Linked DNA regions of Ovis aries. The protein of the gene in region 2 interacts with the protein of the main gene of each other region in a pairwise test. Links are inferred from orthologs where the notes say so. Each region holds a gene or a part of one and is shown on either strand. Other genes may lie near its edges.

Evidence for each region. The genes of interacting proteins can lie anywhere in the genome.
Region 1: the proteins of ESR2 (region 2) and NRIP1 interact in a two-hybrid assay, tested with the Homo sapiens proteins (2 studies listed by BioGRID, with this or other methods). The link is inferred for Ovis aries from reciprocal best matches to the Homo sapiens genes ESR2 and NRIP1.
Region 3: the proteins of ESR2 (region 2) and NCOA6 interact in a two-hybrid assay, tested with the Homo sapiens proteins (3 studies listed by BioGRID). The link is inferred for Ovis aries from reciprocal best matches to the Homo sapiens genes ESR2 and NCOA6.

Annotation. Positions count from the first base shown.
Region 1 is NC_056054.1:143,016,129-143,019,348, reverse strand, and holds part of NRIP1 (nuclear receptor-interacting protein 1), read right to left. Parts: coding exon 994-3,220; 3' UTR 1-993. UniProt on the Homo sapiens protein: Modulates transcriptional activation by steroid receptors such as NR3C1, NR3C2 and ESR1. Also modulates transcriptional repression by nuclear hormone receptors.
Region 2 is NC_056060.1:74,522,366-74,526,019, forward strand, and holds part of ESR2 (estrogen receptor beta), read right to left. Parts: intron 773-3,654; coding exon 656-772; intron 1-655.
Region 3 is NC_056066.1:64,069,282-64,072,935, reverse strand, and holds part of NCOA6 (nuclear receptor coactivator 6), read left to right. Parts: intron 1-1,047; coding exon 1,048-3,654. UniProt on the Homo sapiens protein: Nuclear receptor coactivator that directly binds nuclear receptors and stimulates the transcriptional activities in a hormone-dependent fashion. Coactivates expression in an agonist- and AF2-dependent manner.

The DNA.
Region 1 (3,220 bases), on a different chromosome or scaffold from region 2:
TGTTTGGTAGATCGGAGCTGCTGCCTGGGAATCTGCATTTTAAAGCAAGTGCTCTGGATGATGCTAATGCAGGTGGTCTGAGTCCAGCTTTAAGAAACCCTGGTCGTCAGACTCACAGGTACCACAGAAATGGTGAGAAGTGGCTTTTATAAGACATGGTGAAAACTGTCCAAAGAAAAGCCATTTTGCTAGTTAAAAACAACTTATTTCAGTTATTTAGGAAACCATCTGAAGATAAATGTTAACTCTCCTAATTCTGTAAAAGGAGGAATATTAATTTAGTAAAGTAGTTAAAATACAAAAATGGAAATCTGCCTTTTTTTAAGATCTATCAAACTTCCACCAATTGTAATCAATTTTTACCAAGTAGTACAAGGTTTAAAGAAATACAGAATATTGAAAAGGATCGGGGAAGCCCAGACACATTGAGGAATCACAAAACCCCTTTCAATAGTCAAAAATAATTTTTTTTTAGCAAAAGTGAAAAATGTAAGCATATATTTTTCTAATTGTTTTGGAATTGAATGAGAAATGAAACAGCACTAGGTTTTTTAATTCAATAATTACCCTTTAAAGAGTTATTATTTAGTAATGTGGACTTTAAAAAACGTATTATATAGGTTGCTTCTGAAAAGCAAAATCAAGTCCTCTAATAAAGGCAGCAATGCATTAATCTGCTGGATGGAGATTTATATTTTAATTTATGCCTAGTATCTGTGATTAAAAAAAGAATTATCATTCATGGGCTACTCACAGTTGTTGTCTGATGCATACAGAAGGTGTCAAACAACCAATTGCTAGTTCAGCAGCTTCCTCATGACATTTAACATGAAGCAAAAAGTAGTCTGCATATTTAAACATCACCATTAACCAATACTTTTCAAAACGAAAAAGTTTCAATTATACCATGCTTTTCTCAAATCATGCGCTTATTTATACAGATCTCAAGTTCATTAGTTTTAAAAAGATCCAAAGTTGGGTGGCAGGTCCATTTTATTCTGATTCCTTTTTTATTGTTAGCATGTTTCCCAGAAGTCCATAAACTTCTCCGTTTGCACTGTGTGGGCGAGAAGCATTATTGCCCATATGGCTATTATAAGCGCTCCTTAAATTAAAGAAAGAAGCTTTAGTTTCTGCAGCAGGAAGTAACTCTTCTTTGATTGTAACCTGTGAGATACTTTCAGCAGATGAAGGCTCCCTCCAAATGTCCCTGTCCTGTGTTTCTCGACTGGTAACAGAATTGCCTCCTTTCTGGAGCATGTAATAGAGTATTGGGTTAGTTTTGGTCAGTCTTGGAGAGTCTTTCTCATACTCATTCTTGTCCACATCTGTTATCACCCACTTAATGGGTCCTTTCTCACTGGGCATGGAACACCCGTTCACAAGCCCAGCTTCTGGTCTAGACCCTGTGCAGCCCAAGTGCTCAGGGAAAGGAGGACTCAGGGCGGCCCTTCCGACACCTGGGTATGGAAAGGTCCTGCTGTCCATGCAACCGCCGGGCTGAGTGGCACCGTACATCAGTCCGTTTAGAGAAGCAATGCTGAATTCAGGCTTGCTGTTGGTCACACTGCTTCTGTGTCCTTTCTTTTTACTGTCAGCCACAGAGTTACTCCTGTGCTGAGACAAATCTCTCACGCAGTTTTCTGAGAGAAGCAGCTGTTTCAGGACGTTGAAGCTTTTGCTCTCTCTGGTCCAATTCCTGGGTTCACTTTCGCTGGCTGAACCGTGACTGGCAGGATGTTTAAATTCAAGATCACTTCTGCTAAGTTTCAGCTCTTGCTGGTTAAGCAAGGACCCGTACAGCACCTCCGGAGCACTGTGACTGTTTGCAGCATCGACTGTGTTACTTTTTGTCTTTTTAAAGGGGTTTTCTAATGGCTCGCTGTAAAGCTTCCTTTTCTTAGGGACCATGCAAAGGTTCTTCGATTCTACAAGTGTCAGTTCACTGTTCCTGTGACTGCTGTCCAGCTCATCAGCCAGGTGACTGTCTTGATTTTGTCTCAGCAATCGGCTTAGCAGACCGTTCTTTGAGAAAGAAAAATCCTGAGGTGAGCCAGGCTCTGGATTCAAGTCCTCAGATGCTGGTAAGGCAGGTGCGCTTCTCTGCATGGGAGGGGCCGTCCCTAAGAAGGGGGCACCCGGAGCCTCGTGGCTCAAGTGCATGCCCGCGCCATGCGGATGCAAGTCATCACAAGGCTCAGATTTTATTTTCACCATCAGTATTTGTTCACTTAAAGCTCTATCTGTATGTTCCTGAGTGCTCTCATCTCTTAAGGGCATCTTCTCTTTCTTTTCAGTCTTCCCTTTGTTGGGATTTCCCAGCAGTAACTGGAGGACGGTGCGCCTTTCAAGCAGATTTTCTATTTCAGACCCAGAGAGTCCTGGTTCAGGACCTATTGTGTGACTGCTGAATGCTTTCTTCTCTTCAACTGCACTTGTTTTATTGGCTAGCAGAGGGCTATTCAGTCTATCAATCATACCTGGAGGTTTATCTGTGTTTACACTCAGCAGCTGTTTACTGGGTCTCTGCTCTTCCCCTGACACGGAAGACTGCATTCCACATTGCGCTAAATTTTGTAACAGTTTACTGGCACTGAACGTGGCCGAGTTTTGTGCACCTTCATTGTGGATGGCTTTCTCCCCCTGCGATTCTTTGCTTTTTGTAAGGTCCATCAGGTGGCTCGAGGCGGTATTCGCTGGCTTTTCGGGCTGGGGGCCACAGGCATATGGTGGGGAATTCCATTTGATGACCAGAGAGTGTTGGGAAAGGTTGATGGGAGAGTCGGCTTTGGTGGATGCAAGCAGTGGTGGAGTGCTCACGGGAGTAGTCCTGTTGGTGCTGGGGCTCTCTATTACAGACGTCCGGGTGTAATTCTGTGTGCTGAACTTTGTCTCATCGCTGTGTGCTTCCTGAGGGCTGCTGTTTCTTTCCATGTTTTCTTCATTCTTATGGCCAAGCAGCAACTGAAGAAGGGTTACCTTCTGGTGCGAATTTAGCTTAGAATTCTTTGAGGTATCTTGATCTTCTTTGACGTCAACTTCGGGGACTTTTGGATCCCAAGTGTTTAGCAAGGACTGAGTTAAGTTATCCAGAGAAACAGGCTGGTCGGGTTCGGGTTTTTCTATCCTGTGTTTGCAAGACAAGTCTATGGGCACACAGCTGGAGTAAGAACTTTCATCACCACTGCTCTCATCGGTGAAGCTAGGATTGGGATCTGAG
Region 2 (3,654 bases):
TAGGCATCATTGTCAGTTGTTACACTAGTGTTCCCATTTCCCTCTGTCTTTTCACGCATGCACACATCTGCGTATACACACATATATGCACACGTACCATCTTAGAACAAAATTCTTGCTCTATGTGCTTTCCATCGGTCTATCATGTTTCTGACTCCTGCATATACATTTTTTCCACTTCTAGAAAGTTAACGGAGTGACAGGCATGAGTCATCCCAAGTAACCCACAATATAGTCTACCTTCTTGTCACAGCTTTAACTGTGAACATGTACCAGAACTTCATCCTGGGACTTTTCAAGGCCTCAGGTGGACGGTCATCCAGCCCATCTGAGCATTTCAGTGGCTAGAGTTCTCTAATTCATGCAGCAGCCTATTCTGGTGTCAGACCATTTGACCTGGAGAAAGTTCTTCCTAAAGCGGGGCCCAAATCTGCCTCCTGCAACTTGTTTCTGTTCACCCCAGCTCTGTCTTCCAGAGTTACAGAGACTAAGTCAACGCCCCTGCCGTGGGACAGCATGCAAACACTTGAAGATATTACCGCGCCCTAAATCTCCTCTCACCTAGACTCCATGTCTTCAGGTCCTCACACTGTCCCCAGTTTGACCTGGCTCTCAGCATGTCCCACATACCACAGAAGGGGACGGGAACACTCACCACACTTCACCATTCCGACCTCATAGCACTTCCGCAGTCGACAGGCCTGACAGCTTTTACGTCGGTTCTTATCTATGGTACACTGATTTGTAGCTGGACAAATATAATCATTATGTCCTACAACAGAGAAAAAAAAGGGGAGGTTTATTGTTATAATATTTTGGATAATTCTCTTTTTTGGTCAACAACACAGCTAAAGCCACCCAGCTGAGAGATAGGAAAACAGCTTCTAGCTACAGGAACAGGTGTAAAAATGAAGTGCCGTCTCATCAGTGCCTCATCAGTGAGTAAAGGAAATCTAGGAATGTTTTGATATCCTACATCTTGACCTGTAGGTTATTCTCTGCATCTTCTTAGAATTCTCGAGAAATATATTTAGAAATACTCTTCTTTGGACATGGAAAGTGAGACAGTCACCTGAAATTGATTCGCTCCAAGTCACAAAACTCCTCAAGAGTAGTACTTGGTGTCCGGTCAGCAAACTAAACTCCTTGTACTCTTTTGCATACACTTTCGGGGGGGGATTTAACATGCCTTTTTAGTGGGAATTCATAGCTAACTAAGAGACCTACACTGGTCAATAAGAGAATATAAAAAAATCAGCAAACTAAACAAGGAAAGAAAGAAGTACTACTTGATAATCACCAGATTTTAAAGACCACTGCAAAAAGACAGAGCTCCATGATTGAACTATGATGAACTTTATAATCCTCTCTCCTTTCAGGTAGATTCCAGATTCCAGTAACATTTGTTCAACAAAACATAAACTGAACTTCAGTTGTTTGTGACTTGCCAGTCACGCCCTGAGTTGGCTTGGCACCCGAGAGATGCAAAAACCACTCTCTCAAGTGACACTCCATCCTGGCCACGTACAGGAAGCAATGTCTTCTTTGCCTGACACATCAACACTTCTGACCTCCTACTGATTTCCAGGTTCTTTTCATGAGCACCTCATTTACTCATATAACTTCCCTATAAAGAGCTATGATCCCAATTTTACAAATGAAAACACTTAAGCTCAGTTCAATAATCTTAAAGTTATTGCTTTTTCATTTTGCATAATAAATTCCTTTAAAAGCCTAAAATAAAACAAATTTATTATCTCATAGTTCCCATGAATAGAGAGTTCAAGGAAAAGTTTACTCTATTCAGGGTCCCAACAAAGCTGCAACCAATGTGTTGACGGGGCTGTGGCCTCATCTGAGGTTCAGGGTCCTCTTCCAAGCTCATTCAAGTTGTTGACAGAATTAATTCCTTGCAGTTATGGGAGTGAGGTCCCCATTTTCTTGCTAGTTATAGTCTGGACACTGCTCCTAGCTCCTAGAGGCACTTGCCCAGAAGCACTTGACAACAGGATGTCTGTTTTCTTCCAGGGTAGGAGGAGTGCATCTCCCCACTGCTCTCCCCAGACTGCTATGATGGAGTCTCACGTAACCACAGCATAATCACGAGAGGCGATCCCATCACCATTTGCCATAAAATGTAACCTAACTAACACAGTCACCCATTATATACACAGGTTCTATACACATTCAAGAATAGGGGGTAATATAAGACATGCTATAAAACATTTTTATTTATGTTTTATGTTTATGGCAATTCCCTCATAGCTCAGTCGGTAAAGAATCTGTCTGCAATGCAGGAGACCCAGGTTCGATTCCTGGGTCAGGAAGATCCTCTGGAGAAGGAAATGGCAATCCACTCCAGTATTCTTGCCTGGAAAATCCCATGGACAGAAGAGCTTAGCGGGCTATAGTCCATAGGGTCGCAAGAGTCGGACACGACTTAGCGACTAAACCACCACCACCATAAAACATTTTAAGGGATATATAATTTGTTATTGGTTTTATACTCACTCATATTCAAAACTAAATTTTAAAAACCAAATATATTTCTAATCAGATTTTCTATTGTAGTTTTGAACATAATGCTTTACAGTTAGAAGGTAAATGTAATGCCACAATACTTTCCATAGCAGGAGCAATCTTTTACATATCTTCTAAAGCCTCAAAGAACAGTACATGATGTTATCCTCACTGATTTTATGAGGTTTACAACAATAAGTATTTAAGGAACAACTAGAGGTTGGTCGCAGAGGACAGGCGCCGCCGAGAGGAACTGCCCCAAGCCCTAGAAAAGGCAGAGGAACCAGAGATCAAATTACCAACATCTGCTGAATCATCGAAAAAGCAAGAGTTCCAGAAAAACATCTATTTCTGCTTTATTGACTATGCCAAAGCCTTTGACTGTGTGGATCACAATAAACTGTGGAAAATTCTGAAAGAGATAAGAATACCAGACCACCTGACCTGCCTCTTGAGAAACCTATATGCAGGTCATGAAGCAACAGTTAGAACTGGACATGGAATAATAGACTGGTTCCAAATTGGGAAAGGAGTACGTCAAGGCTGTATACTGTCACCCTGCTTATTTAACTTCTATGCAGAGTACATCATGAGAAACACTGGGCTGGAGGAAGCACAATCTGGAATCAAGATTACCAGGAGAAATATCAATAACCTCAGAGATGCAGATGATACCACCCTTACGGCAGAAAGTGAAGAGGAACTAAAGAGCCTCTTGATGGGTAAGAGGAGAGTGAAAAAGTTGGCTTAAAGCTCAACATTCAGAAAATGAAGATCATGGCATCTGGTCCCATCACTTCATGGGAAATAGATGAGGAAACAGTGGACACAGTGGCGGACTTTGTTTTTCTGGGCTCCAAAATCACTGTAGATGGTGATTGCAGCCATGAAATTAAAAGACGCTTATTCCTTGGAAGGAAAATTATGACCAACCTAGACAGCATATTCAAAAGCAGAGACATCACTTTGCCAACAAAGCTCTGTCTAGTCAAGGCTATGGTTTTTCCAGTGGTCATATATGGATGTGAGAGTTGGACTATAAAGATAGCTGAGTGCCAAAGAACTGATGCTTTTGAACTGTGGTGCTGGAGAAGACTCTTGAGAGTCCCTTGGACTGCAAGGAGATCCAACCAG
Region 3 (3,654 bases), on a different chromosome or scaffold from region 2:
TCCCAGCTTTATGTCCACTTTTTCCCATTGAACCACCTTTATTCTTGGTCCTTTCTGCTGATTATGTAAGGTTTTGGTTCTAAAATGCAAATAAAATCTTCACAAAAGAAGGAATCATTTGAGATGTCGCCTTCTAGGAATCTATAAGGCATTGTCCTCAGACTTCTTTTCCCAAAGTTATTTTTTATTCCTGAGGGCTATGCTTCTTGGCTCACTTATTCTCCACTTATGGATTCAAAGACAGTATTTCTCCAAATACAGTTTGACATGTAAAAAAGTAAATGGAAATTAGCATTTGTAAAAAGAACTTCAGTGCCCTCATTTTATTTTCAGTGTGTGTATCAGCTTCTATTTAGCTCCTACTATTTATTAAACTGACTTACGTTGGAGAGACAGTTTAATTCACTGGGTTTCCCAAAGAAGCGAGCCTGGAGGGTGCAGCATGGTGTGTGAAGTCAATGGATTGAAGTGATTTTAAATCCTTCTTTCTTAAGGAATTGAACCCTAGAACTTTATATTTTACTTCTGTTGAAGGAATAAAAAGGCTATCTTCAATGCTGGTATTTTCAACAAAACCAAGTCTTTAAAAAAATTAATCTGTGCTAAAAGAAAAAAAGTGAATCTTAAATGCTTCATTCACAAATCCAGTGAAATGTTCATTATGCCTGCATGAGAGCCCAGTACTGGGTGGTCATCCGTGTGCTGTTGATGGAGTTGTCCTCATTTCATCTGAATGTGAGGCTGGCATAGACTTGGCCAGTTTCAGTGCATAGCGCAGTGCCTGTTAGAGTCTTAGTACAGTGATGCCTCATGCAAACCCTGAAGACTGAGGAGCTCCAGGTTCTCGATGCTTTGCTTTTTGCTTCCTGAAGCAGCGTGCCTCTTTGCTTATGCCAGAGAAGGAAGGGCCGCCCCTTACCCCCCTGGAAACGGGCATGCCTGAGCTATTTGTGCCACCTAGATGAGGATTGCTTGGCCATACCCTAAAGGTCACAAAGCTTTTCTTGCTGAAAGTCTAACTTCCCTGATTTTGGGGGCTCGTTTTAGGTTATCCTTCTCAACCAGTTGAACAGAGGCCACTTCAGCAGCTGCCTCCTCAGCTCGTGCAGCATGTGGCACCCCCAGCACAGCCGCCACCGCAGCAGCCGCAGCCACCTCCCAGCCAGCCGCAGTCTCAGCAGCAGCAGCAGCAGCAGCAGCAGCAGCAGATGATGATGATGCTCATGCTGCAGCAGGACCCCAAGCCCGCCAGGCTTCCGGTCCCCCAGAGTGCCCACCCCCCCAGGGGCCCGCTGACCCCGGACGCCCAGAGAGTGCCCGCGCAGCCGAGCGGCGGCGTGCCTGTCATGGTCAGCCTGCAAGGCCCTGCCTCAGTGCCCCCGTCACCTGACAAGCAGAGAATGCCAATGCCTGTGACTACTCCTCTGGGAAGCACTTCAAGGAAAATGATGTACCAGGAGAACCCCCAGAACCCTGCCAGCTCACCACTGGGGGAGATGTCCTCGCTCCCAGAAGCAAGTGGCAGTGAAGGACCGTCCGTCTCAGGAGGCCCAAATAATATGCCTCCACATTTAGTGGTCTCCCAGAATCAGTTAATGATGACAGGGCCAAAACCTGGACCATCACCGCTTTCAGCAACTCAAGGTGCAACTCCCCAGCAACCTCCTGTAAATTCCCTGCCCAGCTCTCATGGCCACCACTTTCCAAATGTGGCTGCTCCCACCCAAACATCTAGGCCTAAAACACCCAACAGAGCCAGCCCCAGACCCTATTATCCCCAGACACCCAACAACCGCCCTCCTAGCACGGAACCTTCAGAAATCAGTCTATCACCGGAAAGACTCAATGCCTCCATAGCAGGACTCTTCCCCCCACAGATTAATATTCCTTTACCTCCCAGGCCAAATTTAAACAGGGGCTTTGATCAACAGGGCCTAAATCCGACAACTTTGAAGGCCATCGGGCAAGCACCTTCAAACCTTACCATGAATAATCCTTCCAATTTTGCTGCCCCACAGACTCACAAATTAGATTCTGTGGTGGTGAATTCTGGAAAGCAGTCTAATTCTGGAGCACCAAAACGGGCAAGTCCAAGCAACAGCCGCAGGTCTAGTCCTGGGTCAAGTAGGAAAACCACCCCAAGTCCTGGGAGACAGAATTCGAAAGCCCCTAAACTTACACTTGCCTCTCAAACAAATGCAACGTTGTTGCAAAATGTAGAGCTGCCAAGAAATGTATTGGTTAGTCCTACTCCTTTGGCCAATCCGCCTGTACCTGGGAGCTTCCCTAACAACAGTGGGCTGAATCCTCAGAATCCTACCATGCCTGTGGCCACGATAGGGGGTGTTCTGGAGGATAACAAGGAGAGCTTGAATATGCCACAGGACAGTGATTGCCAGAATTCCCAGGTTAGGAAGGAGCAGATAAACATTGAGCTAAAAGCAGTCCCTCCCCAAGAAGTGAAAATGGTTGTCCCTGAAGATCAATGCAAAAAGGATGGGCAGCCTTTGGATCCTAACAAACCTCCCAATGTCGAAGAGAACAAAAATTTGGTGTCTCCTGCTATGAGGGAAGCACCAACATCGCTAAGTCAACTTCTTGACAACTCTGGAGCTCCTAACGTGACTATTAAACCCCCCGGGCTTACAGATCTGGAAGTAACACCTCCAGGAGTGTCTGGAGAGGACCCAAAAAAAGCATCTGTCATTCCCTCCCTGCAGGATCCGTCTTCTAAAGAACCCTCCAGTTCCCTAAATTTACCTCACAGTAACGAGCCGTGTTCAACCCTTGTGCATCCAGAATTGAGTGAGGTCAGTTCTAATGTCACCCCAAGCATCCCTCAAGTAATGTCAAGACCTGTCAGCTCTTCCTCCATTTCCACTCCTTTGCCCCCAAATCAGATAACTGTTTTCGTGACTTCCAATCCCATTACAACTTCAGCGAACACATCAGCAGCTCTGCCAACTCACCTGCAGTCTGCATTAATGTCAACAGTTGTCACAATGCCCAATGTGGGTAACAAGGTTATGGTTTCTGAGGGACAGTCAGCTGCTCAGTCAAATGCCCGGCCTCAGTTCATTACGCCTGTCTTTATCAATTCATCCTCAATAATTCAGGTTATGAAAGGATCACAGCCAAGCACAATTCCTGCAGCCCCGCTGACAACCAACTCTGGCTTGATGCCTCCCTCTGTTGCAGTCGTTGGCCCTTTACACATACCTCAGAATATAAAATTTTCTTCTGCTCCTGTGCTGCCTAATGCCCCCACCAGTAGTCCTGCTCCAAACATACAGACAGGTCGACCCTTGGTCCTTAACTCAAGAGCCACCCCTGTTCAGCTTCCTTCCCCGCCTTGTACAACTTCTCCAGTTGTTCCTCCTCACCCCCCTGTCCAGCAAGTAAAAGAACTGAATCCAGATGAGACTAGCCCTCAGGTGAGCACCTCAGCAGATCAAAGCACTCTGCCCTCTTCACAGACAACCACAGTGGTTTCTCCCCTTTTGACCAATAGTCCAGGCTCCTCTGTCAACCGGCGAAGCCCAGTCTCATCTAGTAAGGGCAAAGGAAAAGTGGACAAAATCGGCCAGATTTTGCTGACCAAGGCATGTAAAAAAGTTACAGGCTCCCTCGAGAAAGGGGAAGAGCAGTATGGTG